Linked DNA regions of Schizosaccharomyces pombe. Changing the gene in region 1 together with any one later gene gives a genetic interaction. Each region holds a gene or a part of one and is shown on either strand. Other genes may lie near its edges. The genes, in order: tpx1, pmp20, trx1 and txl1.

The links.
Region 2: mutations in tpx1 (region 1) and pmp20 impair growth when combined (synthetic growth defect), as found in Schizosaccharomyces pombe (one study listed by BioGRID).
Region 3: of tpx1 (region 1) and trx1, changing one enhances a phenotype caused by changing the other (phenotypic enhancement), as found in Schizosaccharomyces pombe (one study listed by BioGRID).
Region 4: of tpx1 (region 1) and txl1, a mutation in one rescues a mutant of the other (synthetic rescue), as found in Schizosaccharomyces pombe (one study listed by BioGRID).

Annotation. Positions count from the first base shown.
Region 1 is NC_003421.2:2,082,495-2,090,645, reverse strand, and holds tpx1 (thioredoxin peroxidase Tpx1), read left to right. Parts: upstream 1-4,926; 5' UTR 4,927-5,031; coding exon 5,032-5,610; 3' UTR 5,611-5,704; downstream 5,705-8,151. Other genes in the region: nuclear export factor sac3, read right to left, coding at 1-451, 488-1,027, 1,129-1,372, 1,594-2,100; BAX inhibitor family protein Bxi1, read right to left, coding at 2,969-3,769; SPOM_SPCC576.02 (hydantoin racemase family protein), read right to left, coding at 7,289-7,999. UniProt on the Schizosaccharomyces pombe protein: Thiol-specific peroxidase that catalyzes the reduction of hydrogen peroxide and organic hydroperoxides to water and alcohols, respectively.
Region 2 is NC_003421.2:114,617-122,369, reverse strand, and holds pmp20 (thioredoxin-related chaperone Pmp20), read left to right. Parts: upstream 1-3,370; 5' UTR 3,371-3,476; coding exon 3,477-3,947; 3' UTR 3,948-4,148; downstream 4,149-7,753. Other genes in the region: SPOM_SPCC330.07C (transporter), read left to right, coding at 1-1,457; protein new25, read left to right, coding at 4,523-4,792; orotidine 5'-phosphate decarboxylase Ura4, read left to right, coding at 5,795-6,589; protein tam14, read right to left, coding at 7,114-7,187, 7,254-7,386, 7,444-7,449. UniProt on the Schizosaccharomyces pombe protein: May act as a chaperone rather than a peroxidase. Has no thioredoxin-dependent peroxidase activity. Shows weak chaperone activity.
Region 3 is NC_003424.3:2,623,031-2,630,901, forward strand, and holds trx1 (cytosolic thioredoxin Trx1), read left to right. Parts: upstream 1-2,302; 5' UTR 2,303-2,426; coding exon 2,427-2,738; 3' UTR 2,739-2,825; downstream 2,826-7,871. Other genes in the region: dfg10 (steroid dehydrogenase), read left to right, coding at 1-460; oligosaccharyltransferase subunit Ost4, read right to left, coding at 910-1,008; SPOM_SPAC7D4.08 (uncharacterized protein), read right to left, coding at 2,012-2,302; dolichol-P-Man-dependent alpha(1-3) mannosyltransferase Alg3, read left to right, coding at 3,553-4,773; SPOM_SPAC7D4.05 (hydrolase), read right to left, coding at 6,343-6,789, 6,879-6,955, 6,991-7,153; autophagy associated protein kinase regulator Atg11, read right to left, coding at 7,559-7,871. UniProt on the Schizosaccharomyces pombe protein: Participates in various redox reactions through the reversible oxidation of its active center dithiol to a disulfide and catalyzes dithiol-disulfide exchange reactions.
Region 4 is NC_003423.3:763,951-772,448, reverse strand, and holds txl1 (thioredoxin-1-like protein Txl1), read left to right. Parts: upstream 1-4,958; 5' UTR 4,959-4,970; coding exon 4,971-5,194; intron 5,195-5,246; coding exon 5,247-5,895; 3' UTR 5,896-6,097; downstream 6,098-8,498. Other genes in the region: SPOM_SPBC577.11 (uncharacterized protein), read right to left, coding at 102-463, 594-693, 874-1,131; pre4 (proteasome core particle subunit beta 7), read right to left, coding at 1,979-2,767; DNA repair ERCC8 family protein ckn1, read right to left, coding at 3,168-3,892, 3,937-4,015, 4,064-4,181, 4,262-4,369, 4,433-4,580, 4,631-4,667; ubiquitin C-terminal hydrolase Ubp10, read right to left, coding at 6,196-7,178, 7,280-7,616, 7,665-7,853; 1-phosphatidylinositol 4-kinase Stt4, read left to right, coding at 8,220-8,227, 8,283-8,498. UniProt on the Schizosaccharomyces pombe protein: Has a role in cellular detoxification of alkyl hydroperoxide.

The DNA.
Region 1 (8,151 bases):
GGTTTTGGCTTATTTTTAATAGGTTTCACAGCTTCCTTATTTGAGGTGATTGAATTTTGAACAGGAGGAATAAATGTTTCCGTACCGTTAGTGGATCCATTTGGTAGGTTTGTGGGTTGGACTGACGAAATGTCAGTAGCAGAAAAAGGTTTAGTAGGAAAAGATCGAGGAGTAAAAACAGGAGCATTTACGTTAAATTTCCCATTAAAAGTACTAAGGTTCTTTGATACTACCGAAGTCTCAGGTGTATTTTTTTTAAAACCAGCAATAGGTTGTGGCTCTTTATTAGCGAATGGCAATGATAAAGGAATATTAGTTGAAAAAGCTGTGTTCGGAGAAACCCGGTCTATATTGTAACGAGAACCGTTTATAATATCAGCAAATGAGCGATTTTGAAGTTTGGACTCGACAAGTGTTTGTGAAAACAACTGTCGAAAATCAGGTTTGGAATCTTATGAGTTAGTCCTGTAATTTATAAATCACATACCATTAAAGAATGCTGTTTTATTCAGATTTATACTGAGCTCGCCATTATCATCAGAGACTTCTAGTCCGTAGTACCGAGAAAACGAAGCGGCTTGCTCTACAGTATCAAAATGTAGTATACGCTTCAAATCCCCACAGGGGAAATTGGCATGGGCTGACATAAATGCCTTACGCATGGCTTTTAGAGCACCTTTTCGAATAGACATGAAGTGAGATTCTAAAAGACAAGCCATTAAATATGTTACGGCAGGAGATTGAACCAATTTGAAAAACCGAGTGTAAAGATTAGGACATGCTTCGGTGTTTCGCGGAAGGATATGACCAACCCGCTCATTATTTTTTTGCGCCAGCGCTGACAATCGAAGAGCTAGCTGCACTCTTTGATCGTCAAATATTTCTATTGGTAGGATTTGGGATTGTCTGACAACATCCGGATCACGTAAATGCGTTATAATTGCATAACTTCGGAATTCTGGTTCATTTGGACATCGAATTTTAACTTTTCTTAAATCATCATAAAATTCACATAAAGATTGCAATACTAAAAGGTTAGTATGATAAAATATATGAAAAGAAAGAGTGCTGCTAACTAAAATGCTCATAAAAAATTCAAGTCCCACAAAATCAGCATTTTAAGTTTACTACCTTTTCGTAACTGTTCAACTTCTTGTTGAGCGCTAAATTGTTTCTTCTCACACAGTTGATGAATACATAATATATGATATCGGGCTATACGTTCGTGACAAGCAACTGCATCCAAATCACGACAATTCTGAAGTGTAAAATCCTGTCGAATAGATCGAGTACGGTCACGTACAAAGAAATGTGTATTCTCAAGTGGATCAGGACCACAGACTATTTTATCAACCAAATAATCGAGCGATTTCTAAGTCATGTGTGAATAAAAATGCAACTGAGAAAGAAAAAATAGATAACATCCTAGAATCGCAAAATGAATTATATAAATATAGAAAGGTAGAATTTAAGCTGGAGGCTAGAATTCATATCGAACTCAAATCTAGTAAGAACCTTTGAAAAGCTTTTTGGAAATACATATATAAATAAATTTGCGAATCAAGAGGATTAGTAAGAAAAAAAAAATCAAACCTTTAAAACTGGAGGTGGTCGAACATCTGAGGGTAACGCTTGCTCATTACCGGCCGCAGGACGATGAAAAGCCTTTACAGCAAGATTCTTATCGACACGACCCGTTTCTGGATTAATCTCCCACCGTTCCAAATTATTTTGATATTCTCTTTGTTCACGTTCATATTCAGGACACATATCGGGGCAAGTACCAACAAACGTTACGGCCTCATCTAGTTGTCTTGGTTTCGTAGGATCATCGATTAAGCCATTTTGGATTGCTACTTCACGTTCCTTCTCACGAAGACTTCTCAATTCTTCGAACCTGTTTCCTTCTAACGTAGAAGAGAACCGTTTTTGTCGACTGTCCTGTGCTTCCACATCCTCGAAAACACTAGTATTATCTTCGTCGACTGAAGTTTCTCGCGGCGTTGTTTCCACAGAGGCGTCTTTCCAATCCTTCTTCGATTTCCCTCTGTTATTAGACCTTTTTAATCGATTATTACCAGTCTCATTCCGCTTTTCCATCAACAATGGATTATTTACCTGACGACGGTAGTTGGTAAACTCAGTGCGTATATAACTGAAATGACAATCTCATATAGTGAAGAACAGCGTAGATGTAATAAATTATAATGCTCACAGTAACATACGCTATATATACTATACACATTTATGTAATAGCTACAAAAACAGCTTTTTCTATTGAAAGATTATTAGCAAAAAAATCAAAACATTTAACAACTGAAAGTTTATGGTCCAAATAAAACAATCATCAATCGCTTACATCTTACAGTTGCCCGTGTCAGTAAATAACTCCCACTTAACCTCAATAACGTTTACAAGTATCTACTTAAGATCTCTTCAGATCTAATAGTATTAAATTCAAATATAGAAACCTTATATTCAAACAAACACTCTCAACATTTTTTAACAGATAGCATGAAGACCCACATGAAATAACATTCACAACAACCATTTAGTTTTAACGGTCACCGTTGTTGGAATTTACCTTTTGCAACAAAAAAGGATTGAAAACGAAATTAAATACAGCGTTTCCATTCATGCTGCTAAAAAAAGGAATGTCGTTTGAATTCATCGATACGCTCGTTTGGGTAGTAAAAATGAGCAGATCGAGATCATTAACAATATAACAAATAATAAAAAATAATAAAATTCATAGCAAACATTATAATTAGCACATACATGGTTCAACAATATACACAGTATGCAACGGCCATGCCGGGAATTAATCCCCTGTCACTTTTAGACCTAGGTGAAGAGAAAAAAGAACCGCATTTTTTAAAAAAAAAAAGCATCGTAACGATGACAAAGTGCAGCAATCAAAAAGTTGACAAGGACTTAAACATGTACATGCTGCCCAGTGGGAATTAGTTTAGTTATTGTCATTATTTTGGAGCATTCCAAGAATCTGCAAAATACGAATAAATAAATTGATGAAATCAAGATAAAGCATTAAACTCGACATAATAAACTCCTCCGGTGAGTAACGGTGAAGGATGTTGTATGTATCAAACAAGATGTAACCACAAAATACAAGTGTTCCGAAACCAGCAAAAGCCATGTCTATAAATGGCGTAGATGGTACAAAGAAAAATATTAAAGGGGTGAGGATAAGGGACCATAAAGAAACGTATAGAAATCCTCCAAGTCGGCTGAAGTCCCATTTTGACTGGAATGTAAAAGCCGTTAATGCGACAAACACTCCAAGTGTAATGAAGACAGCTTCAAGAATAATACGAGCGCTGAAGAATGTGATGGCGGTACCCAGAGTCAATCCTTCAAGTGCAGTGAAAAGGAAAAGAAAAATGTAATTACGCGGATAGGAATACGGCTTCATAATTAGACCAAACAAAACAACCAGAGAGATGAAGAAGTTGAGAATCAAGAACCATGGGTGCATTTGAACCCAAAAAGAAAAAGCAGGATGTAGGTAGAAAATGCCACCAAATAAAGAAGTGACAAAAAGCTGAGCAGTGAGAATGGCATAAACCTTTCTTAAAAAGGCCATGCGAATGCTTTTGGCGCATTCAGCAACGGGCGTAGTATTTTTAAATTGATCAACAGCGGGATTTTCGGTAGCAGATTCATTATATTCGGAATAGGCGGGAGGAGCCTGAGCCAAATTTGGCACTGAAGGATCATCCTGAGGCACAGATTGGTAATTTGCAGGCATGATTGAAAAACAAAAGAAGATACCTTAAAACACGAATAGCAAATGGATAGTTGCGAAGGAAATGCCTTATATATAATAGAATTAAGGTTTTTTTGTAAGCAATAAATTGAGATAAAAAGAAAAAACCTGTAATTTACTGAAATATGAAGGAGATAATAAAAAACACAAATATGTTTAGTCGATGGCGCTGCGTGGTAAAGGGGAAAGTCAGTAGATAAATAGTAGCAAGATTAAGTGATGGATAATATAGTGATCGTGTTCAATTACGTTAAAACAGAATTGAGGACCCACGTACCAAAAGTGGAGGACAGACGATGCATAGAACACTATGGAAATTGCAAATGACTTTTACATGAACCATTGCAACGTTTTCAAGAAATGTCGAGAACAAAAGAAGCTAATAAGGAGGCGTAAATGTAATTTGAAGAGAGGCAAAGCAGTGTAGGGTTCAAGCCGTTTTCCTCAGAAGAGTCAATTTTATAAACAAGACTGGCAAGAAAAAAACAGCAGGAAACGTGGAAACAAACACGATGAGAAAGATTGGATGAAACCTGAATTACTTATTATTTCGTAAATCCTTATATAGTAATATAACCATCTTTGTCCACTACAACAAAAAGGTGGCCACTTCGAGGTATAATACTAAGCCGGAGGACCGTGGAGCAAAATGTCAGTACATTACCTTTTGTTTTCGTCGTAAATCTTTTTGTAAGCTTCTTTAGAAAAAGATGATCCTTCTTTCTAAGACTCTCCTTTTCGACTATGAAGATTCACACCGTCTCTCCTCTACAAGTGCAGTAATAGTTTTTTTAATTCTACACACCGCAACATATTTCCTTATTTTATTTATTATAGCTCGTTCCTTTTCGTCAATAGGTCCACCGGTGTTCCTTCATTTTCTGTATATATTGATAGTGTAAGCACAAGTCCAGAACGGAATTTATCGTTAACAAGCGATTTGCATTATCGCCTAATTATTGACTAAGCTCACTTGCTTACTTCATGCATATCTCATCGATTGGGTGGATGTGCGCTTTATGTAATCTAGAACGTTATGGAATGATCGGCGTCTCGTCTAGTCGCAAGCTTGGTATGTCAGCTGGGGCTGCAGATCCTGTCCTATATAAAGGGACATGCCCTCACCGCTTCTTTTCTCCAGTGTCTTTCGATACAACATCCAAATAGTACGATTCTCTTTGGGCTCAGCAACTGTCTTAACTTGTTCCAAACCTACCTAAATTCCATATCATTAATCTATAATCATGAGTTTGCAAATCGGTAAACCTGCTCCCGACTTCAAGGGTACTGCCGTTGTTAACGGTGCTTTCGAGGAAATCAAGTTGGCCGATTACAAGGGTAAATGGGTCTTCTTGGGCTTCTATCCCCTTGACTTTACCTTTGTTTGTCCCACTGAGATTGTTGCTTTCTCTGAGGCCGCCTCCAAGTTTGCTGAACGTAATGCTCAAGTCATCTTGACCTCCACCGATTCCGAGTACTCTCACCTTGCCTTCATCAACACTCCTCGTAAGGAAGGTGGCCTTGGTGGCATTAACATTCCCCTTTTGGCCGACCCTAGCCATAAGGTTTCCCGTGACTATGGTGTCTTGATCGAGGATGCCGGTGTTGCTTTCCGTGGTCTTTTCTTGATCGACCCCAAGGGTGTTTTGCGTCAAATCACCATCAATGATCTCCCCGTTGGCCGTTCTGTCGACGAGGCTCTCCGTCTTCTCGATGCCTTCCAATTCGTTGAGGAGCACGGTGAGGTTTGCCCTGCCAACTGGCACAAGGGTTCCGATACCATTGACACCAAAAACCCCGAGAAGTACTTTTCCAAGCACTAGATCAATTTTCTGAGCAAGTGTAGTCAACGAGAGTCAAACACGATTTGTCTCGTATCTTTTTAGATTAGTTTATGAATCTCCTTTTTTGCCTATATTCTCAAAGTTTGAGGTAGTAACTGTGTGTGTATCATACTATACCATCGTAATGTCTCGTGAGGCAAGGGTGGATTGCGTAAATTAGCAGAGTGCGGATCTGCTAAAAGGAAATTATTTAATTGGGACGTCTGCTAATGTGCTTATTTTTCTCATTAATTAATGATATTTTCAGAAACGACTTTTTTAATGCATCGTATACATTTGTTTAAAGCTACAAATGTGTGGGATGCTGCTCGTAAGTTATATAACTATTTATAATTATAAATACTGTATAAAGTTATTTGAAGTCAACTTTAAGTATATGGATGAACTGGTTATAATGATTTGAGTGATTACATTGTGTTTTATTGAACTCGTTTGTATTATTATGCCTTTTGACAACATGACGACAATTCAAAACAAAAGAAAAAGGCAACCTATGTTTTAGTTTATACCAAGAAAATGGAACCTAAAAAAATTAAATCCTCTCATTGTTTTGCTTTGCGTCTATCGTTTTGTAACGCACCGACACGCACTGACATACCAAGTGACTTGCTACCTCAGATTATCTGGGGTAGACTTCGGTGGTTAAAAGAAGGTTAGTCCGTGGATTTCACTCCCTTCACCCGCATCTTCCTTATCAGGCCCAAAGGGAGTTAAACGAGTTACGCTCGTTGCGATAACATGTAAGCTACGCAGTTTGGTATCTGATTTAAGGATACGTAGAACTGCGGTGAGTTTTCCTTGTGGTCTATTATATTACAATACACAGGTTGTATAAGTAGCAACTGAGTATAGGTATTGTATTAACTGGGTTATAATGTTACCTATCACTAATATAGCTCATAACTGAACTGAGGAACGAGGTTCAGTTGTAACGCTATTTATAATATTTCTAAATACTTGTATCAACGGGTATCTATGTATATAGAAGGATAGTTACCCGTGATTATCAATAAACGGATCTTAGCTAGTATTCCAACATATGACATATAGTGATACGCAACGTAGTGTAGCATAGCGTAGTGTAGTATTGCTGACATAACGAGAATTTTCGAGATATAAAGAAGAATAGGTTTTCAGTTCATTCAAGTCAATATAAATGGATAGAGATACATAAAATAGAAATTTTAATTGTAGTCGCATTTTATTTTTTATTATTAGTAAAATAATATTTTACTTTGCCTCGTACCATATAGCTCATTCACAGCCTTCCAATGTTTCTAAACTGAAGAAGACTGGAAAAAGGCGAATGTAAAGAAATACAACAGTATAAACGAGATTGACTGCTTCCCAAAATGATTTTTTAAAAGGATGTTTGTAAATCTGCTTGTATCCAACACACTGGGCATACAGTGAAAAGTTATTCTTATGAAACCAATGTGTCAATACGCTTTGTAAACAATGACAGAAAAGAATGTATCAAGAGGTAATGGTTGTAATTATCACGTTATAGATAGGTATGTAATTATTGATATAAATCAAGAGAAAATGTATACGTATCCAGGAATATCAACCTTTGTCGTACACATTATTATGTGTGTGTATGTGATATAGCAGCATCAAACTGGTTTGCTAGATCTAAAAACATATGGACATCTCTTTATGGATACGTATAGATGCCAAACTTTGATGTATGAAGATTTTGACGAGCTAGGCCAGCAAGTAACTCAACAGCCGCATGTACACCATCAATGATGGGAATATTGGGACCTACGGCAACCTGAATCTGATCACGAATAGCTGCTAAAGCAGCACCACCTAAACAAATGACATCTGCACCCTTTGTGTTTGCCAGTTCTTGGGCCTTTTGGACAAGAAGGGTTTCACGCTCTTGTGAAGGCATTTGCGAAAGTTGCAAAACTGTGCGACCTGTAGAAGCAATGGCGGCCACTCGAGTGCGCGAAACACCAAAAGAATCGAGTAATTCGTAAAGCAAACATTCGGAACGATATGTACTTGTAAGGATGCCGATGCGCTGACCAACCGATAAGGCACTGAGGACAGACGCTTGCACAATGCCCATGCAGGGTAAAGCAAATGACTCACGAATCATGTCGACTAGAGGAGTGGGGGAATAACAGGCAACAGCTATAGCATCGACACCATCCAAGACACTAGGAGTTAGGGCTTGGAAGACTAGAGCAGCTGTCAAGGTTGCCTCTGTGATGGAGTCGATGACAGCAGCACCGGGTTGAGGACAAGTTAGAAAGCGCAACTTTACATCTGAAGGCACTAGGGGAACGAGTTTTTCTTCCATGGATGTTGTGATGAAGGTGGAAGAGTTTGGATTGATGACGAGAATGGTAGGCATGATGAGAGAAAATAGAAAGGTAAGAGACGAAGAGAAAGAAGGTAGAGAAGAGAAAGCGAAGAGAAAATAGTAAGAAAAAGAGCAAGCAAAGGGGAAATAGTAGAAAAAAAAAAAGTAAAAGAGAATGTTGAAGCTGAATTTACAGAGACACA
Region 2 (7,753 bases), 2.0 Mb from region 1:
GCCGATCAAGGGTTGACAGTAGGCCGACTTATTTTAAGGTCACCTCTAAAGATCTTGGTTTCGTAGACCAAGTATCCGAAGAATATGAATTTTATACCTATCCAAAGAAAGCATCAGAAGTCGAGTCGGTTACTGAAACATTTCAGAGTAATCGTTCAAGTCTTGTTCCAACTTATCCTGTAGACGAAAATGCCAACAAACTGCCCCCAAAGGTATCCATTGCGTTCATATTGATTAACAGCTTAATGTCCGATATGTCCTTGGCTGTGGCCTTACCCACGTCGGCCTCTTACACTCAAAGCCTTGGTGGTACAAATGCATTTTCAGGTTTGGTAATTGGGATTCCCACTTTAATTTCGTTAATATTTCTTTATCCCATGCTTTGCTTTGCAAACCCAAAGTCGGCTAACGGTTATACTCTGTACTTCCGACCAATGGTAGTATCTTCGTTTGCTCACATTTTTGGCCATTTACTTTATTGCATGGCATATCGTGCCAATTGGATCTATCTAATTCTAATCGGGCGAATGCTGAACGGTATTGGGTTCACTACCTTCTTATATCACAAAAAATATACAACAGATAAGTTGCTCGTCGGACAAAATCGTCGAACATTCTTGGCAACAATGAACATCTTAGCGCAGACCTTAGGATTCATGGCAGGTCCCTTCCTTGGAGGTATATTAGCAAAAGCGACAATTCATTCAAAGAACGCTGTTTGGAATCAGTACACAGTGGCATCATGGGTCATGTTGTTTATGTGGTTTTTTTATATGCTAACTATCATATTCTTCTTCAAAGAGGTAACGGCTGACAAAAGCGAAAAAGTTTCACAACAAAAAGAAAATGATGATGAGGACAGGCCAAAGTTGAGTTGGAAACATAAATTTTTGCTTTTCTTTTTAGCGGAAGTGGCATTTATAGCATACTTTACCGTGAACGGCTACCAAGCTAGTATTTCCATTTACACAGGAAAACTTTATAATTACGATGCTTTTCAATCAGGAAATTTTATAGCATTATCCGCATTAATCGTGGCACCTTTTATTCTAGCGAGTTCATTTTTGTCTCGATGGCTCGAAGACCGACACATCATGTTGGGAGGCCTATTCTTGGGAATTTTGGCAGTAGCCATTCATCTAGTATTAGATGCAGTTCACAAGCTACCCATGCAAGTTTATTTTTTCTTGTATTCGTTGATGATTTATGGCTATAGCATTGGATCTGCGCCTCTAATTTCCCTTTCGTCCAAACAGTTGCATCCAAGGCATCATAATACCGCCAGCATAGTCGTACAAGTAGGAGTGTCTTTGTCCAATACTTTTGGCTCCATTTGTGGTGGTGCGATTTATAATATAACCACAGTTGGTTTCATTTCGCTTTGCCTAGGATTAGCAGCAGTTGTATACATGCAATTAATCTTTATGTGGGGATCCTTGAAATGCAAAACACATTAAGCAAAGATCCTAGCCATGATTATAAATGCTGGTGAGCGATCGACAATTTTTATTTAGAAAAGCTAATTTTTTTTTTTTTTGGAAATCGGCTTAATAACCTATGAAACCTTGAAACTTTAATGAATACCAAGAAGCTATTTTTGATTTTTAATTCTCCCTATTTGTTTGTTATTTGGTATTGAACAAATATTCAAATGAGATTCCATCGGAATGTATTTGACATATGATTTTTATCCATTTAATGTTGGGCTTTCCAATCCCATAGGACTAATATCTAGAAAAATACAATTTAAAAAATCTATGTAAAACAAATTTATGCAAAAAAATTGAAATATTAAAAAAACCAGTCTTTTTATGCTTAATATGATTCAATGAGTTTAATCTTTAAAAAATCTAAATTAATAAAAAATTCATTTTCATATTTCACTACAATTCTTATCGTATGTATTTTTTTACTAGGTAATAGTTTATATTATTATCATTATTATTATTATTTTTTTTTTATTAATGATTAAACGTACAAAACCTTTGAATTTTCCGTTAATCGTTCTTTGGAAAAAGAAAATGAGATTCTAAACATCTAACTCCGTTACTTGCATCATGAGAAAGGGAGAAGAACAAAATGTTAGCTACAATGAAAAAGGATTACTTTCGAAAATTCACTATTCCACATCCGTTTTCCCAAATCCATCCTTTGCTACTGATATACTTCATTATTATTGCACTGATGTATTTGTATATAATAACTCTTAGGAAACCCAAATTCATCCTACCTTCTAGTTCGGTAAATCGTATAAACATAGACACTTAGCTTACCATTAATGTCTTTTGTGATGTAATAGTCCTTGTTAAAACTTATAGCGATGCAGTACGTACGATATTTTGCATCTTTACTGTACCTTAAATAATTGCTGAATAGACACGTGGAATGTGTTTGTATACGTACTTATCAATTACCAGTCAGATGGTAGAAGCGGTAAAATCGTGATATTTGAGTATTAGCTATAAAATAAATTTTTCACAACGTTTCAATATATTTTAATACTCTTTTTAAAATTTTTTAGAGAGATTTTGACGAGCAATTGATGCGTGAGACGCGTTTGTCAATTTTTCCACCTTTCTCGCTCTATTCATAGCACTGGCTAATTGTGTCGCAATACCACGGAAAATTGATTTGACGAACACAAGTGTGGTCTTTGTGTTAACATTTCTAATTCGTAAATGAATTCGAGGACTCAAAAATTTGCGGTTCGTTATACCACGTCGGGGTTTGCGCCATTTATCTGTTCATAGATACCGCAAAGCAAATCGTGAGCAATAAATTTTGAAAAGGTATCTACAGTTCCGAGAGGTGCAGGAAGTGATGAATCGAATTTGATGAAAATTTCTCACCTATTTTAGAGGGGAAACTACAGTGACTTTCTTGAAAGCAATTAAACAACCTTGAAAATGAATCAAACTTTTTTCTTAACGTTACTGCTGATATTGATGTGAAAATTAAACAAGAAAAACATCATCACTTCGTTAAAACCTTAAAAATTCAAAATTTCAAAGGAATAATTAACACCCGGGCATGCATACTACCCGATAACGTAATCTTCTCTATTGCCATTTTCTTTTTCTTTTTAATAAAAATGGCTGTCTAGTAAACACTTTGTCTCAGCGTTTCTTGCCTTTTTACAACAGTCAAATACCGAATATCGCACGAACCATTGAAAACGCAGCTGTGCGCGGTCTCAGTGCCGGTTGGGATTTTCCACCACTCGCAGCCCACAAAGCTCTTCATACAAAGATGAAGAACAGTAAAGAAAAAAAATCTTCCATCCCGACAAATTTGGTGATTTGACGTCACCAAAAGATTCGTTTTTGTAGAAAGGTATATATATTAACGACATGTGCCCATTTGTCTTGATAATACTATCTTTAAACTTGAACGACATTTTTTGAATACGCCGTTACTCCTAAAGATTTTATACCACTTGCTTTAACTTTTACACAAATTTATTACTACTATTAAAAATGGTTGCTGTCGGATCTACTTTGCCTAAAGTTACTCTTTGGGAAAACAAGCCCGAAGAGGTTGTTGAATTCCCTTCTCAAGGCAAATTCATCATTGTCGGTGTTCCCGGCGCTTTCACTCCTCCTTGTTCTTCTCAAGTTCCTGGCTATATTGCAAATGAGAAGCAATTTGCTGCCAAGGGCATCAGCGGAATCTATGTCGTTGCCGTAAATGACGTTTTCGTCACCAAGGCTTGGAAGAAGTCTTTCGACGGTGGTGAGCAAAGTGGTGTTCACTTTGTCGCCGACTGGAACGGAGAGTTTACCAAGGCCTTTGATGCTGGCTTCGACGCTAGCGGTCTTTTGGGCCCTCTTCGCTCCAAGCGTTATGCCGCTGTTGTCGAGAATGGCAAGGTTGTCAAGGTTTTCATTGAGAACGAGGTCACCGATGTTGATATTTCCTCCGCTGACAAGGTCCTTAGCTCTCTTTAAATCTGATGAACTGTTGTACTAATTGTTTTGATGGGAATGTTTTTTTCCTTTAATGAACGAAACTTAGAATCAAAAAGATAAGCTCCTTATTTAAGGGCGTTTGAAATGATGGAGATAAAGCACTCCATATTTGAGTTTTTTTTGTCATTGTGATGATATATGTTTAGATTTATGAAATTTTATACACAATTATCTTAACAACTCATTGTTTGAGTACTAGTACAATTCTTTATAAGAAAGTAGATATGCTTAAAAAATTAATGTCAAGTAAAACGTTGAATCGATTACAATAAGTTTTCGTAACACGATTGAAAATCGGTAGAAGTTGAAATGGATATTCTAAGTGGTGGTATCAAAATAATGACTAGAAAGATGTAAGCACACCTTCAATGTATCATAATCAATGTCAGATGAATTTGGGTAATGAAAAACGTTGGCCACAGTTGGGGGCGTCTTCCTCTAGATGCTCGTCTTCTACAACCGTTCTTTACCTCAACCTTTAAATTTTCAAAATCTCCTTTTTAATAACAGTTTTCATTTTTGGGTTCTTTTTACTCATTTGTATTTCATCTTCGATGAAAATAGCTAATGTCTTAACTTTATCGTTTGCTGCAATTATTGCTGCTTCTTCCCTGGCGGTTGTAGTTAGTCCTATCACAGACAATTCCAGGGAGACAGCTTCATCCTCCATTTCTCAAAGTCCTCCTAGTCAATGGTCAAAAAAACAGTTAATTGAGTATTGTAAAAAAAATTCACTTAAAACTAGCGGATCTCATGAAGAATTGGTTATCCGTGTGCAAAATCATCTTCGTACCGCCTCTAAAAAAGTTGATGCCAGACCGTAATGACAAAACAGCTTGTATAGATTTTAATATGTTTTCGATGCTTACATAATGAGTGAGTGTCATTATTGAGGAATGCCATGTCAGATTTGACACAACTCAGAACTTATTAACTTTTTATGATTGGAACTTTTGTTTTGCCCAAGGAATTTTTAATGGAAGAAGTTGTTTTATAAATGATATTGAATTTATATCCACTCTTTTTAGCGCATTTGCATCTCTACTTTAGGTTCTTCTTTGACTAGATTCTAGGATGCGTATTGGATATACTGGTCTTTGAATCATTGTCGAAAAAAAAATTCATGGTTGTACCCATGAGCAAACTGCTTTTGTGGTTATCCATGTGCTTCTTTTGTTCAGCATCTATCTTCTTAATCGCATGGAAGATTTGATTTAAACCAAAAGAAATATTGTTAAACTTTGACAGAAGCTTTAAATTTTGATTCCATACATTAAATGGATAAAACTCCTGAAGCTTAGCTACAAATCCCACTGGCTATATGTATGCATTTGTGTTAAAAAAGTTTGTATAGATTATTTAATCTACTCAGCATTCTTTCTCTAAATAGGAATTTGTTACTTAATGGAGAAAAAAATGTTTCGATTTACCTAGTGTATTTGTTTGTATACTCACGTTTAATTTCAAACATCCATTCTATCTTGTGTAATTTTTGGCATGGTGAAAAAGATAATCAGCCTTATAATCTTTACAAAAGTAAGAAATTCTGTAAATAAGCCTTAATGCCCTTGCTTTAAATTAAAATGGTTCTTTTTCATGATAATGTTTGCACTTTGTGAATATATTTTAGATAGTTCTGTGAGGTATAATTAAGATGTTTTAGAGACTTATACAATTTTGTCTTTATAAATTCTTAATTGATTTTACCATCCCAGTTTAACTATGCTTCGTCGGCATCTCTGCACATGTCGTGTTTTCTTACCGTATTGTCCTACCAAGAACCTCTTTTTTGCTTGGATCGAAATTAAAGGTTTAAAAGCAAAGTTATGGATGCTAGAGTATTTCAAAGCTATTCAGCTAGAGCTGAGGGGATGAAAAATCCCATTGCCAAGGAATTGTTGGCTTTGATGGAAGAAAAGCAAAGCAACTTGTCAGTCGCGGTCGATTTGACGAAGAAATCCGAAATCTTAGAATTGGTAGATAAAATTGGACCCTATGTCTGTGTTATCAAGACACATATTGACGTTGTCGAGGATTTCGACCAGGATATGGTAGAAAAACTGGTGGCCTTAGGTAAAAAGCATCGTTTTCTTATCTTTGAGGATCGCAAATTCGCAGACATTGGAAATACCGTCAAGCTACAATATGCATCTGGTGTGTACAAAATTGCTTCTTGGGCTCATATCACAAATTGCCATACAGTGCCAGGCGAGGGTATTATACAAGGCCTCAAAGAAGTTGGTTTACCTTTGGGACGTGGTCTCTTGCTTTTGGCTGAAATGTCTTCCAAAGGCTCTTTGGCTACTGGTTCCTACACAGAGAAAACCTTAGAATGGTTTGAGAAGCATACCGATTTTTGCTTTGGCTTTATAGCTGGTCGTCGATTTCCTAACCTTCAAAGCGACTACATAACTATGTCCCCTGGTATCGGCTTGGATGTTAAAGGAGACGGGCTGGGACAGCAATATCGTACTCCTGAAGAAGTGATTGTAAACTGCGGTAGCGATATCATCATTGTTGGTCGTGGAGTCTATGGAGCTGGTCGTAATCCTGTTGTCGAAGCCAAGAGATATAGAGAAGCTGGTTGGAAGGCATATCAGCAAAGACTTTCTCAGCATTAAAAAAAGACTAATGTAAAATTTTTTTGGTTGGTTATTGAAAAAGTCGATGCCTTGTTTGCGTTTGTTTTCCTAGGCGTTTTATGTCAGAAGGCATTTAGAATTAGTATACAAGTACTCTTTGGTAAAATTTTATGTAGCGACTAAAATATTAACTATTATAGATAAACACCTTGGGAATAAAAAGTAATTTGCTATAGTAATTTATTAAACATGCTCCTACAACATTACCACAATCTTTTCTCTTGGATTGACATTGAATAAGAAAAGAGTGAATTTTTTTAGACTTGTAATGATAACTATGTACAAAGCCAATGAAAGATGTATGTAGATGAATGTAAAATACCATGTAGACAAACAAGATAAAACTTGGTTATAAACATTGGTGTTGGAACAGAATAAATTAGATGTCAAAAAGTTTCGTCAATATCACAAGCTTTATTATTCAAAACTAGTATACTTTTTCTCGGAGTATAATACACAATATCGGTGCAAATAGGTTTTAAAATTGCTCCAATCACATGTTCTTAAGAAAAAAACGTCAAAAGAAATCTAAGTATTCCCAAAATAATTCCTCCTGACATGAGAAGAATAAAAAACACTAAGATGCATTGTCAGTATGAAACACAAGCCAAAGTTGCTAACAATAGGATCAATTCTTACTTACTGGCAATGTTACGAGGAATCTTGGTAGGAGGATGTTTGGCAACATAACGTTCTTTTGAATTTGTTTTTACACGACGAGTAATGTTCTTCTGAAACTGTGTGTTTGCACGACGCTGAGAGGGAGTTTGAACCGTCTAAAAGACATAGTTAGGATCCATGATGCACAGATTTCTAAAGATAAAACTACTTACAGGCATGTTGGTTTATTAAAAAAGAAAAACAGGAATGATAAGAGGGAAAGAATACGTGTACAGAGCAAGTGTGGAAAGATATGCTGAAGACGTTTGTATGAACAATGCCAAGCTGTAAAGCTAGACTTTCAAAGTACACACTAATACGTTATACTATATACCAAACAAAAGGGTACGAACTTACAGTGTTTACCAATGTCAGCAATACTACACTACGCTATGATACACTACGTTGTGTATCACTATATGTCACATGTTCTAATTATATATCGTACCATGTATGATACGATATGGAGATTAATCTTAATGA
Region 3 (7,871 bases), on another chromosome or scaffold:
TGAGAATCTACGTTTTCGCAAAAGCGGTTCGAAAATGCTTGCTGGTCATTATTTATTGGGATACCTGTTTTACACACATACATTCCTTGCATTGCTTTTGTGCGGTAGAAGAAGTTATGAAAATACAATGTCAAGCATGCAATTTGTTGGTTTGGGGATTTACGCAATAGGCAGCATTTGGCAGAATGCAAGTCATGAACATTTGATTGCTCAAAAAAATCATTCGCAATATCTAGTCCTAAAAAAAGGATGTTTTAAATGGATAACTGGCCCCCATTACCTTGGAGAAATCATTGTTTATACTGGAATAGCACTGATTGCCCAACACTGGTTAATATGGCTAGTCTTGGGATGGGTACTTTGCAATATGGTAGCAATCTCTTCTTCTTATGCTTGTACGGTCAAGAACAAAGAACAAAGTTTGGACTTTCGGTGGACTCTTATACCTTTTCTATACTAAGAAAAGCGTGCCGTCAGGATACCGCGATTCTTATTGATTGTGTAAAATAACATTTATTAAAAAAAAAGATAATTTGTATTAATATTTAGTCGGGGTTTGAGAAGAGACGAACTTTAAAGATGTATTATTATTTTATGTTGCACTTTAGTACAAGCAACAGTAGATGATAAAAGTTATTTGGCCAGCATGTAGAAAATAGGGAAGGAAGGAAAAAGAGATAGGAAAATAAGAAAAAAGTAATACAAGTGTATCCAATATTTAACGGAACAAATAATAAGACATATTTTGTTTCGTAATATAATCATTTTGATATGCAGGTACAAATTCCATTTCACAACAATACCAAAGGTAACTTCCCTTAATTGAAAGAGTGACTAATTTAAAAAACGTAGACGAAGAGTGCAGCTATAAAGGTAAGTTAGACAAACAGACATGAATCTCTCTTTCTTTTATGCTTGAGGACGTGAAAGGTAATGGTAAAGGATGATTAAGAGCATCATGGAGATACCAAAGGTGGTAACGATATTTTGAAGTTGAACGTCTGTCATTTTTAAGATGATCCTTTGTAGGAAATGAGTTCTGATGCTTGTGCTCGGTACAAGTTGGGAATACAAGTATTTAGGTCCAAGCCTGAATTGCCGTGCATTCTCATAAAGTAACGAAGCACGGTTGCTACTTGAAATGTGAATATCAGTACTGCAGTGATGAAAAAGACTGCCGGTATATAAGGTAAAAGAAAGAAGAAAGAAAATTCATTTTACGGTACTTTCGAATTCTTTAATACATATTGCTGCTCAATAGCTTCTGGATGTCTAAAATGTGAATGCTTCGAAAGAGCGTAAAAAAATTTCAAAAAAAAAAATTTCTTCACCATCCCTATAATTGCCGTTGATTAAAAAAAAAAAAATGTAACTTTCTACTTTGTTAAAGCCAAAGTAGCTGTAGAAAAAGTGACTGTGGATGCGTATGTAAAAGGTTACCCTCTCAAGCTGAAAACTGCATTGTACTATTTCGCCATAACGTGAATTTGATATAAAGCGATGGTTCAATACACCGTTTCTAGAGGAAGTAGCATGGAAAAAACATAAATTAAAATATCGTTCATCGTTCTAACGAAAGTTCAGCTACCGCAAAGAATTATTTGACTGGCGATTAACTTTTTTTTGATTTCAGAATTTCAAGTATATGTGACACTGTTATAAACTGCATATTTATACTCCTTTTCCAATTTCTACCGCCATTTATATGTAAAATGGATTTTGTTAACAGTAGGAATATCGCCTCACTATTTTACATTTTTGTATGTCTTTTAATTTGTAATTTCATATCAGTACCTCAGTTGTTATAACAAAATTTTCTTAACATTACTTCGACTCCACTAACTAGATCGTGTACAGCAAAGAAAAGAGCACGCATAATCTTTCAGCTTACCAAAAAAAAAGAAAATCTTTACATTTACATACTTATTATTTTGATGCTTTAATTGCTTATAATCTCATGTTTGTCGAGAATCCACGATTAACAAGCTGACATAACAACAAGATGGCTTCTTTAGCTTTGTTTACTAATTGTCAGGTTTCCGATTTGTGATTCGTTGTAATTCCATGAAGTATTACTCCGAAATGCGTTATAGAAAATTAGGAAACGAATTGGTAGGTTGATGGCAGAGAATGGCACCATATCCTCGTTATTGTAGCTCATTACCTCATCGTCGGTGATTGCACAATGTACGCTCTCGATCTTTCTACTAGAATAAGCGAACTTATAAATTACACATTTTCTCAATAATATATAAACGGGCACGTCGCACCATCGTATAAGTATACTAGAGACAAAGTTCATTTGCACTCCTGAAGTCAACGTCTTTTGAATTTTTCAGGTTTACTTCTGTTTACTCGTTAAATCGATTTTTTCTTTATTTGAGTATATATTTTTAACTTAATTTCCCATTTCATTTATATACAACATGGTGAAACAAGTCTCCGACTCTTCTGAATTTAAATCTATTGTTTGCCAAGACAAGCTTGTCGTTGTCGACTTCTTTGCTACTTGGTGTGGACCTTGCAAGGCCATTGCTCCTAAGTTTGAGCAATTTTCCAACACTTACTCTGATGCCACTTTCATCAAGGTTGATGTCGATCAATTAAGTGAAATTGCAGCTGAAGCTGGCGTTCACGCTATGCCCTCTTTCTTCCTTTACAAGAATGGTGAGAAGATTGAAGAAATCGTAGGTGCTAATCCTGCTAAATTAGAGGCTTCTATTAAGGCGAACCTCTAATTTACGCAATCTGATAGTTAGTTGTTATGAACTTGTAATACAAAATATTTTTATTTAACAAAAATAAATGTTTTGCTTTTCTTTGTGTATGCACCGTTGTAATTTATTGGGAAAAGTATTTTTGTCCTAGCATCTTTTCTACTGAAGTTGCAGAACGGCGATTTGCGTACAATTATCGCAATAATAGTAATGTGCCATCGACCAGGCGTAGTAATCTAGTCATGGGCATTTTTCAGACAAGCTAGCTAATTTGCGACCGCCTTGAGCATTTGTAATATTTAATACGACTTTTTGGTTAGGCGTTCGTGACTCTGTTCTACATTATTCTCCTATCCTTCTAAGATAGACATTGGAGAGTGTATACCAATTTGGAATGATACCATTTGGATGAATAAATATCCTTTTTGATTACATGCTCAAATACATGCTACTCTTTATTTATAACATTATACAATTAACCCAACGAATATTTATGTTGATCTGAGTAGCAAACATATTTTTGTATTCTATTAGAATAAAATCTTTAATATTCTCGTTAAGTATTGTTTTATAACAATCAAATTTCACATTTATGGAGTAAAATCACAGTAATGATTACGCTCCGTCGACATGTTCTTAACACTTACATCCTAACATACATTGTTCGTCTAACGAGTTTCATTAAAAACACAATTTTTCTTAAACAAAAAGGAGTTCCTTTCTATGTGAAAGAACTCTACCAATTTTCCATTGTCTATAATAAGCGTTACTCTTAAAAACCTGGGATCTGTCTACATTATTTGCTAAAGTCTCGTATTTTATCAAAAGTTAACCAATGTCTTCAGTTGAGACAAGAAATTCTTTTAATCCTTTTCGGGTATTATTTGATCTTGGTTCCTATGGCTGGTTACATCCTTCAAGGCTCCTTCTGTTGGAAATTCCTTTTGTCTTTGCTATTATTTCCAAAGTTCCCTACACGGAGATAGACTGGATTGCTTACATGGAGCAGGTGAATTCATTTCTATTAGGAGAAAGAGATTATAAATCTCTTGTCGGATGTACAGGCCCTCTGGTCTACCCTGGAGGGCACGTATTTTTGTACACCCTTTTGTACTACCTTACTGATGGAGGGACCAACATTGTAAGGGCGCAATACATTTTTGCCTTTGTATACTGGATTACAACGGCTATTGTAGGGTATTTGTTTAAAATTGTCCGCGCTCCTTTTTATATATATGTTTTGCTTATACTTTCAAAACGTCTACACAGTATATTTATCTTACGTTTATTTAACGATGGATTCAACAGTTTATTCTCTTCCCTTTTTATTTTGTCTTCATGCAAAAAAAAGTGGGTTAGAGCTTCAATTCTACTAAGTGTCGCTTGTTCTGTCAAGATGTCCTCCTTGCTTTATGTCCCAGCTTATTTAGTTCTTTTGCTCCAAATCTTGGGGCCCAAAAAGACCTGGATGCATATTTTTGTTATTATAATTGTACAAATTTTATTTTCTATTCCCTTCCTTGCCTATTTTTGGTCGTATTGGACTCAAGCCTTTGATTTTGGCAGAGCATTCGATTATAAGTGGACAGTAAACTGGAGATTCATTCCACGCAGCATTTTTGAGTCTACATCATTTTCCACATCAATACTTTTTCTTCATGTTGCTTTGCTAGTTGCATTTACCTGCAAACACTGGAATAAACTGAGCAGAGCAACACCATTTGCAATGGTAAACTCCATGCTGACCTTGAAGCCTTTACCAAAACTCCAACTCGCAACTCCTAATTTTATCTTTACTGCATTAGCAACATCCAATTTGATTGGTATATTATGTGCAAGATCCCTGCATTATCAATTTTATGCATGGTTTGCTTGGTATTCACCATATCTATGCTATCAAGCTAGTTTTCCTGCTCCGATAGTAATTGGCTTATGGATGTTACAAGAATACGCATGGAATGTTTTTCCTAGTACTAAACTATCTTCATTAATCGCTGTATGCGTGCCGCTTATTACTATTTTGAAGCTATACACATCCGACTACAGAAAACCCTGATCCCTCTTTACTAATACGCAAAATAAACTTTATAAAAAGCTTAAACACTTCACTTTTAATTACTCATGGTTTTTAAAAAACAAAATTTTTAGTTTTTTCATTTGTGTACCGACTATAAATTTTTGAAAATTAACATCTTATAAAAACGAACATTAGTCTAATCTTTTAATTCGTATCTTTATGCCGTCATAATTCGATGAATATTCTCTTCAATGAAAATCTCAGGGGATTGACAGATTGATAAAAATTCATACATTTAATCATTCGACACTGAAATGAATTAGCACCAGTGTTTTTATCAAATGCTCATTATTACTTTTAAAAAAGCGTTTCTAAAATATAAAACAAACAGTTGCTAAGAACACAAGTGCTTTCCGCACAACTATTGCAAATATTAGAATAAACAAGTTGCTGATTTTATAGCTTGCACCATTGACAGTCACATTTTACTAAGGTTTCATTATATATTTCAGTTCCCTCGTTAAAGTAATTTTGTGATTTGCTGTTTATTTGCATAATGTGAACTTCTTAAGGATACATTCGACCGCTGTAAGCGCCTCTTGTCTGATGTAGCGTAGTATGGATTATGAAAAAAACATATTTAGCGTAACTTGTAATAGTTCTAATAAGCTAATAAGTAAAATCAACTTCTACCAGCTTCAACTGCACTTCAAAATATATTTTTCATAAAAGGTTTAGAATAATTGCTTTTTAAGGGAATGACTATAAACGCAGGCATACATGTGAGAAAGCAACTTTTATCTTACTATAGCTAGTGCAGCGTAATAAATATTTCTTTATATCAGCATATTGGCATTTCGAGGGAATAATGGTGAATATGTAAATGTCTTAAAAATATTAAATATAGAGCCAGTACTAATTGTTAAATAAAATTTAGATAATTTAAAAGCATAAATCCCTTTAGCTAAATAAATGCTTTATCGAATTTGCTCGGTTTGCGTCAGTTCTTCGAATTTCAATATTTATGAATAGAGTATACACTCCATTAAAGAAAAGAATTTTGTGAGCTACTCTGTATAGATTTTGAACCCGTAAAAACAGCAAATGCATAACTGAGCCCTAGATTGTTGGTCTAACGATTATTCTCGTAGCATGGATGCTAGACTTGGAATAACGCGACTAGAATGGTCATTCAAATTAGAAAATAAAAAGGATTGCTATTGCGTTTATCGGCATATTCTTCATTTTTTAAATTTTCGTTAGCATGCATATGCATTAGCCATTTCATGTTCATGTCTTTTCGGAATATTCATTGTTTACTTATTTGCGCCCTTGTATAATGAAAACAACAATAGATCAATCTCTAAAAAATTAAAAGGATCACATAAATATAATTTTTCTTCAATGTCAAAAGCTAGTACACAAAGGAACAACAGAGCTTTGTTGAAAATATAATCAATTTATACATTTATTAGAATTCTGACGAAATATTCATTTATAAGAAAAAATTATCATTTCAAATGTGAAACCTTTATTGTCACATTAGGTCCTTGAAGAAGGGGTCCAGATATGAATGTTGGATACGCGGTAAACCTGACTGCGTTTATTTTACTTCTGTTCAAAATATTTCAGGAAATTGGTTTTTATGTCACAGTATTCAGCATTCCATTGGATGTTTCTTGCTGCTGAAACATCTTTTATTAAATCATCCCCTAGGTGCATACATTCTTCTGGTTGAATCTCCTGTCCAAGAAGTTTAACAGCCTTTTCCATAGCATAATCAAATATTTCCCTGCTTGGTTTTTCAAATCCAACGTCGTACGAAAACGCATATATATCTATTAGATGATCTATGCCGTAATCTTCAAGCACTGTACGAATTCTTTCGTCTGTGTTTGAAATAATACCAATAATGTATTTCCTCTCTTCTTTATTTCTCTTAAGGAAATCAATCAGAAGAGGATGAATCGTGTAACCCGTCTTTTTGGAAAAGTAACTCCATAGCTCTTCAGCCATTTCTGCAGGAACAGGAGTTGGAAAAGAATGTTCGATAACCTAAAATTGTTAGCATGTAAAGGTTTTTTAGAAATCAAGAGATTCAATTCTTTACAAAACACAAATCTCAATGAAATTCAGACACATACTTTGATCCACCAGTCATGAGGATTTAATCCTGACTTTTTTCCATGATTCTTATGCTTTTCACTGAAATCCTTGAATGCTAAATTATTAGATAAATAGAAACCAAAAGCTAACCTTTATTACTATTGTGTTCAATTTCATCAATAGTTGCATGAACTCCATACTTCTGAGCGACTTCGCTGTACACAATTGGAACAGGTTTACTTAAATGAAGGATTGTTCCAAAAGCATCGAACGTAACCAACTTGATCTTTTGGATATTTTTTGAGGGAATCATAATTCCAGGTTGTACTTTGATGGGACACACTACACAAAGCAATTTACATAAGGTACTCCTTACCACCAGTGCGTTGTTCGGTGTGATAAATAATATTTGCAAATCACTTTTATTGCGAGCGATTGCGTTCTACATATTAAATAATATACGAATAGATTAAAAGTTCATTAAAAATTTATCATGTTACAAGACGAGAGACACGCTACAGCAATAGTAGTCGTTAATTTACGTCGGATACCTTACTAGGCGAGACCAAAAAACAAATTTCAGTAAATAATGCCATAACAGATCAAAACCTGAAAAAATAGAAGTATGATAATACCAAATGTCTGTCATATAGAATCAGTCCCACAAATACAAGCAAAGAAAAAGCAAGTGAAGGTATAAGCTAGGTCACATAATGATTTAAAATCTTTCATCGATAGCTTCCACTAAATGCCATATTGTACCTGAAGGCAGGCGAAGCCATTTATCCGTCGAATCATCAGCAGTACGATCTTCAATGGAAGTTACCCTTCCTAACATCCAGTCGCGGCTTTCAAGTTTCAAATGCGGTTGAGTGTTCAAATAATAATGAGGAGCGTTAACATTAAAAGCCGCCCACACCTTTTTGTTACCGGCGGTACGTCGAGTAGGCAAAAACAAGACCAAGGATCCTTGTTTGAAATTCCTTAATGAGACTTTACTTTGAGAGTCCAAAATAGCTTTCAGCGCCTTG
Region 4 (8,498 bases), on another chromosome or scaffold:
GGTCACTGCGATGAACAAGGAATGGGAAACTCTAAAGTAAAAGATGAAGCTCTGCATGCGAAATGGTATTAAGAAACTTTTGAACAACAGCAAAACTTTTGCTATCCTTTACGAGGATACGTTCGATTTAACCATTCATTGTAAAGCTTCACCTGACGCACCAATGATTTTGTAAACGTTGTATCAGAAAACAATCCAGAAAACATACTTCCATAATCATTACGGACAGCGCAAATCCATAAAACACCCTCTTCCTTACCATCTCCGTCCAGTTTCTTAGAAACAAAGTCAACAGAGTCATAAAGAGCAACGACACCATTCCCTCCTCCACTGGAGGAACCTGGATATGTAACTGGAGTTTGAAGAACAATAAAAGAATCCGGGTCCAGCATCACAGAAACCACCAATTGTCTGTAAACTCGATTCCGAAAGAACCAAGGGGTTTTGTACTTGTACATCCAAACTGAAACAAATGTGAGTAATTAAATACAATAATAATGGTAAATATAAGCAAATAATGTATGCTTGAAATAAAAATTTTTTCATCCATGAAGGAAGATACATTACTCGCTTAAATGACATTTCAAACGTACTCTCAATTTCATCCTCGATAATAGTTTCCAATTGATGTGCTGAAAATACCAATGGATCATAATCAGCTTCCTTTTTGATATGTTCGTATAGCAATCCTTTCTAAGCTGTTGTTAGCATTTAGTGCGATGGATGAATAGGTTGAAAAATCGATTTCTCAAGTTATCAAAGGACTAATGTTATTCCTATTTTATGGTATTAGAGTCTCCAGTACGTTGTATATACAGAGGTAAATTTTGGAACCATTTTACAAACCACTATCCAACACTTGTAAGAACTTACCTTGAAAGTTTTCAGGGAACGTGTATGTTTAGACACCCTACCATACCATGTATGTCCAGTATAAGCAGGTGCCTTTTCGTATAGCGCAACTCCATCATGATTTCCAAGGTGTTTCCATTTAGGAATTTGTTCGACAATTTTCAAGGCGTCCTGAACGATCCTCTCTCTCCAACTCTCAAAATTAGGATCTGTCGCTTTCAAAACATCGTCCGAAGAGATTGGACATATTGAATCTGAACCAAAAAGATCTTGTTGCATTCAATGGTCTAGTTGGCTAATGGTGAGGTTAAATTTTTAGGGTAGTAGTAGTAGGTCCTAGTCGTACGTAGCTTCAATAAAATCGTCAATACAACAAAAGACTCCAACATTTCTCTTTTATATCATTTTTAAAACAAAATATAATATTTATGAGTAGTTTGTCAGCTGTTGGAAATTTTCACCTTTGCCACTGTGTGCGATCGTTTGGTTTAAAGAATGTACCATTTAAAATGGCCTAAGTATTACCCAGTTCATGATTATAACAAAGTATAGTAGTTAAATATTATAAAATGCTTGAATTCTCAATGAAATTATGTTTTCGCTATGAAAGAACCATGCTACATATTCAGTATATATAAAGGAAATACAAATAGCTTGTTTGTAAACTTTCTACCGTTACCTAATTATTGTTGGATTTCTTACAGACTATTAGGTCAAGCGATTAAACCATAAAGCAACTCATTGATGATCAATTTACTTCCATCATCTTTTTAAGGTAACTTACTCTAACTAGTAAAAGTCATGTTAGCTCCAATACGTAAGTTGAAACCAAAAGCAAATAAAATGCAATTCAGTAATCATATAGAGTAAGTTGCAGTGCATGTTAACCAATTCATTCATAAAGTATCTAGCGGATGCTTTGAGAGAACAATAAACTCGAGCTCGTTTATTTATACCGTTTACAATCAGGGAAAAAATTATATCTTTTTACCATTCGATTCACCAAAATGAATCAATTAGGAAGTATTTCGTGAGCTTAAAGAATGCTTAGTATCTCAAAACGCATTTTCATCTCTGTTGTATCGCATATCATTTTGTTATTCATGAATGCTTTACTATGTGCAAATTATACGGTTTGAGTCCCGTAACCATACTGCTTTTCAGCAAATGCCCATTTGGAGGAGACAGATTGATCAGTCTGGAATTCGATGCCCTCAGGTGTAATGGTAGCAACACTAAATTTGTTTAAACTTCTAGCATCCCTATAAAACAAAACACGCATACATTCATCGATAGTAGCACGAGCGCTTTCTTTAGAAAGCGTTTTCCAGCGATCATCGTCAGTGGCTTTACGCAACATAGGAAGAGCCAAATGCATGGCAAACCCAGTTGCGATTGCCGGGGCAGAATAAGTAGTTCCTCGAAGATCTGCAAAAGCAACATATGGTTCCTTATTTTCCCCATCCACCCCGGCTACAATGAGTTGATTCCAATATGGGTCAAGTTTGTTTCTGCGAGCGTACAACACCTTCGACAAGTATTCATGAATATACGAAGGTTGTAAGGCATAGCCGTCACCATAATTTCCTTCTTTTATTTCTAATTTTTCTAATAGGCGCTGGATTTGTTGATAATCCGAAATATCCCCACCGGCGCCAACAATCGTATTATCACCTACTTTTGTCAACCGTTCAACATCATAAAAGCGCGCTAATGATCCATAGGATGCCAGGTTATCAGCAGCAATCATTACACCGTCTGCAAACTTCAAAGCAAGGACTGATGATCCAGTTACTATCGGTTGAACAGTGCGTTGAATTGGTGCATCGGTTGATTCTTCAACTTCCGAGCCACTAGGAAAAAAAATGTCTTTTTGAGGCTTTCCCCAAACCTCTGTTAATTCTAAAAAACTCATTTTTTGCAAATTAAAACTGTGTGGTTCTTACTAAGTTTTCGAGGTTGATGTCGCTTTATAACACATAACCACCATGCACCTATTACGAAGACAGTGTTTGAAAAGTTTGTAGTAATTTTGAGAAGGTTGCTTATTAATAGCTTTCAAAAGTTTTATATTTGCTATTCTAGATTTATTCTAGATACATTAACTTTTAATGATAAACTGAAGCAACCTATGTTTGATAAGAAAAAGTACAGACAAAGTCACTTTATGGGATCAAACTATGATGTAGAGTTAAACTAATAAATAAAATATAGAAAACTTTATCTTCCTAAAAATTGTGCAATATTCAATGGAATGGCTCAAGTCTAAACTCCGTTGGTCAAAGTTTAGTTAAAATGAAACATAAGCTTAGCAATTATTGATAAGTCACTGGAATATTAATTAAAGAGTCGTATACTTCTTGAATTATGTTTCGTCTTGTTTCTAAATCCGAAATCTTCGTAGGCGATTTTAGAGCTTTAGGAGACCACATGTAAATGTTCCCATTCATATCACCAGTAAAACACTGTTCAAAGTCAGGACGATAGGCAGCACAATTAATACGTTTTAAACTGTGGGTTGAAAGTCGGCGCACAAACGAGCCTTCTAACAAGTTCAATAAGGCAAGAGACCCATCATCGTTGGGGAATAACACAAAAACATCTGAATCCATAGAGGGTTGGATCATGCAAGGATGTACCGCGAAGGAAGTAGTCTGGTTATGAATAATAGGTCCAAATTCTCTCAATGTGTTTCTTCCACTTTCCATATTCCATACTCTTATTCGATCGTCGGTACCACAACTTGCCAAATATCGAGCATCTGAAGTCCAAGCTAATCCATTAACGGTGCCGTAATGAGATATATTTGTCTGGTTACTGGGTAAATACTTATTATGTAGATCCATACATGCGAAGCTGGATGATACTTTACGAATGTCCCAAAGTCTGCAAGTGCCATCTGCAGAGCCGGACGCTAACACGAATTCATTCTTAGGACACCAATCCACCGCAAGGACATTACCCGTGTGTCCAGACAAACTATGAGTATAACTACCACTTTGCATATCACAAAGCCGAATAGACGAAGACCGGTAGGCGGCTATCGTTAGATGAACAATCTCAAGAATGAAGAATATAACGTACTGGCAATTAAACAATGTGATGCAATGGGCGACCATGCATGTGAATAAATCATGTCCTCCATAGTAAAAGTGTAAGCTTCCTACCAATATTAGAACATTGGTTAATTTGCGATTTCTACTTTTATTACCTGTAAAGTAGAAACATCCCAAACCTTGAGCGTATGATCGAACGACGAGCTAGTAAAAATACCATTATCAAACGGAAACCAATGCAAATCTGTTATTCCAAACTTATGACTCGTTCGACTAAAACACCGCAAGTTAGCTATTGATCACTAGTGTATATATTGAAATTGTCATAAACTAGGTAGAAAATGAATGCTTACGCAGGAACTGCATTTAAGGTATCCAAAATTAAATCTTCATCTTCCTTTTGGTCAATATTTTGTAGGTCCCAAACATTGATAGACGAGTTGGCTCCTCCAGAGACCATGCTGTCAATAGAAATTGTTAACCAAAAATTGAAAGCTTTGATAAATCAACGATATAGGTCATACAGCTGATGAATTGTATTATCAATGCTTAGTGCATTTACGGATCCTAAAATGCCCGCACCGTGTCTACGTTTAATTTTCACATCCGGATTCAGCGCTAACCGTTGAAGACGATGCTGCAGTAGTTGCCTTCGAAAAGAGCTATTTGGCTCTACAAATGTGAGACTTGAAATCCTTATATCACATAATCAATTGCATTACCTTGGCCCCATTCTCGTGCCAATAAAAAAGAATTCATTCGATTTCACCTAAGAAATAGACTCAGATGCTACAGTAAGCAACTGACAGCTTAAAACAACCCGGTTTTTAAACCATGTATAACAAATTAAGTCTAAATAAAATTACAGCTAGTTTAATATGAGCGGTAAATAATACTGTCAATTAATCAACTTCTATGTTTAAATAGCAAACTCAAAGGTAGTTTCCAGGAAACAATAATAAAAAAATATGTTTTTCGACGTTGGCTAGACGCACTACTAATAACGGTCGTGGTGTACGAGATGGTATTGGCAGACGGTTTATAGAACTCAACCTCAACCATATGTCAGTTATTGAAATTAGATCGTACCAGCACTGGATCTCAACGATCCCTAAGTCCGGATATCTTGCAGTTGATTGCTATGCCGATTGGTGTGGTCCTTGCAAAGCAATTTCTCCCTTATTTTCACAATTAGCATCGAAATATGCTAGCCCCAAATTCGTTTTTGCTAAAGTAAATGTAGACGAGCAACGTCAAATTGCCTCCGGGCTTGGCGTCAAAGCAATGTATGTGTTTACCTAATCCGTCACTGTACCATTGGTTTTGCTAACATTTTAGGCCTACATTTGTTTTCTTTGAAAATGGCAAACAAATTGATATGCTAACTGGAGCAAACCCACAAGCTTTGAAGGAAAAAGTTGCTTTGATTTCCTCAAAAGCCACAGGAACTGGCGCTCTTGCTTCTTCGTCATCGGCACCTGTCAAGGGTTTTGCTAGCTTGCAAGGCTGCATTGAAAATCCCCAATTGGAATGTCTAAATCAACAAGATGATCACGATTTGAAAAGTGCATTTAACAGTAATCCTTCCTCATTTTTAGAGTCGGATGTTGACGAGCAATTAATGATATACATACCTTTTCTTGAAGTGGTAAAGGTTCATTCTATTGCAATTACTCCTGTTAAGGGAGAAACTTCGAGTGCTCCAAAAACCATCAAATTGTACATCAATCAGCCCAACAATCTTTCTTTTGAAGATGCTGAGTCATTTACTCCAACTCAAGTCATTGAGGATATAGTTTACGAACAAGACGATCAACCTACAATTATTCCCCTTCGTTTTGTTAAATTTCAACGTGTCAATTCTCTCGTTATTTTTATTTATTCGAATGTCGGAGAAGAAGAAACTACTAAGATTTCTCGCTTAGAATTATTTGGTGAGCCTGTTGGTGATTCAAGTAAAGGAAAACTACAAAAGGTCGAAGCTTAGGTGCTTAACAATTTGTTAACTAAAATCATGACGGTTTACGAATTTACCTTTATGAAAATCTAGTTTCGTATACATTACTCGACCAATCTGGTGTCTTGATACCAAAGAATACTACAAACCTTTCATTTGAGCATTGTAATTGCTGACTACTCACGAAATGGGAATATAAATGGATAATCTAATTTATATAGAATAAAGATTTTCTAAGCGGTAACGTTTGATAAATAAAATGAATGTTTTTTAATTTTGTCTCACGTAGAGGAAATTTTGTGAGAAATCCAAAAATTCCACATATTAACACTATGATGACCTTTCCCAAAGCTGAATAAAACTTTCGCCTAAACGAATCATATCGCTACTGATTTCTTCAACATATAAGTCTTGAATTTGATACCATTTATTGGTAGAGGGGTTTCGAATTTGAATTCGGAAGTTATGAAATTCTTCTTCAGCATGTGTCACGGACTCATGTATAATATTAGCAACGAGGTTGTATTTCGTAGAGATTTTCGGATTTGACTGGATAAATGAGTCATCAATAAATGGGCTCATATCAAAATCATCCAAAGGAAATGTCACTATAGTTTGGTTTCTTTCCGTAAAGTAATTGTTTTTCATAAATCTTTTGATGTGAAATATAAAGTATGGAGGAGCCGTCATTAAATGAAAACGCCGTCGCATACCTGCAAGTTCTTGGGTATGTACCCCATTATATTTGTTAAGTATCTCTTTTAATTCTACTTGTGGGATGATATTACCTTCAAACTCATCTTGGAATATGGGTTTCGGAGGTAAATCAAGAGTAAGGTAAAGAAAAGGGACGACGTTAGTTTGTATAACCCTATCACCAGTAAACACAACTTGCTCTCCCTTTTCAGCATGTTGGCGAATTTTCTGTGATTCAATACGTACAAATCCTTGAAAGCTGTAATGTACAATAGAAGTAGGTTTTGCTATGGTCGACTTTTTTCCACCAAGGCAATTGTGTAAAGTATTTAAAAACCAGGAAAGGAATTCTACTGGATCTTTTTGTTCATTAATAGAATATTTTTTGTGAGAAAGAACTGTAACCTCCTGAATGAGTTCTTGAGGAGAGACATGGCTCTTGAATGCTTTATGGTTCCAAAGTTTACGAATAAGGATTGCCAATCTTTGGACAAGTTGAGGGCAATTATCAAAGTTTTTAAGCAAAAAATAATTTCGAAATGGCTTAACATGGGCCAACATATGAATCACCACATTAAAGTAATCGTTATTTTTTATATTGTTCATGCCAACAAAACCTACAAGTGTTAGAACTTAAACCATTAAATAAAATGAATCCTATCACTTTTTCATAGTAAGCTTTATAAAAGAAAACAAAACAATTCCCCACGATACTTACCTGGAACATAGGGTTTGAGCATTAAATCGTAACTGAGCTGTGGTGTGTGATCTAGTCTTTGGACTTCTAGTTTCGTAAAAGTAGGTCGCATCACATAGGCAATATCTTGTAAAGCGCTGGATTCTACTTGATAAGATTCCGGCAAGACATAAAACTTTAATGTTGAGCAATTTACAAAAACATGATGATTTTCGGTGAGTGCATGGAAATAAGCATGTGATGAAGGTCCACGACCCTGGAAATATCTTCCACAGACTAAGCAAGCATATACACTAAGATTTGTCAAGGAAACGGAGCAAACCTTTTCAAAATCAAAATCTAACAATTTACGATTGATCTAATTAGCGTTAATTATAGAACAAAAATGCAGCAAAATCACTCTTACAGTGTCCAAATATAGGTTTTGTGATATTATTGGAGTTGTTTCGTGTTCTTCCATCTCTTTAGACGCAATATCATGAACATCTTCCATGTCTTTACCCAATTCGAGTTTTTTGCGTTTTCCATTATCAATATTATTATCTTCTTCAATATGGCGTTTTAAAATATTATTTTTATCCTTATTTTCTGACATTTTTGAAGCTTTACCATCTATCGATAACTTCAGTTACTAAGTCGTATGGAAGTATCTTCCACATAATTGCACTCGTCTAAGTCAACAGCAGATCACGCTCTTTCAAGTCATTTTCTACTTTTACTAGCTTTCTCTTTCTTATTTTCATATTTAATGTATTAAAGGGATATCTAAATACTATTTCAAGCCGGAGATTTCACATTTAGACCTGGTTCTCTGCTTCTAAAGCCGAAAGCGGTTATTAGTAGATTCTTCCGTAACTTTCATTTCATTTGGTTGATAGAATCTATCCCATCAAAATTATAACTTATTTTTAATCCTTTTTGATTAGATTTACATTACCCTTGTAATCCCCTGCCAAATATTATGGATTGGTAAGTGGTTTTATTTTTTCCCCTTTCGAATGCACAGTCTACTAATTATTATTAGCATCGATAAATCAATCAGAAGGGAATCTTTACGAAAACTTGGCTGCCTTCCCGATCACGGTTGGAATCTGTTCGTACAATCAAGTAATCGTTACTCAAAATTGCTTGAAGCAGATTCTAAGCTATTTAAGGCCCAAAGAATTGAGGACACTGTCTTGTCAATTTGTGAAGTTACTTTGGAAAACAAAGCCTCTGAAAATGCCTTGACTTTGTTCCA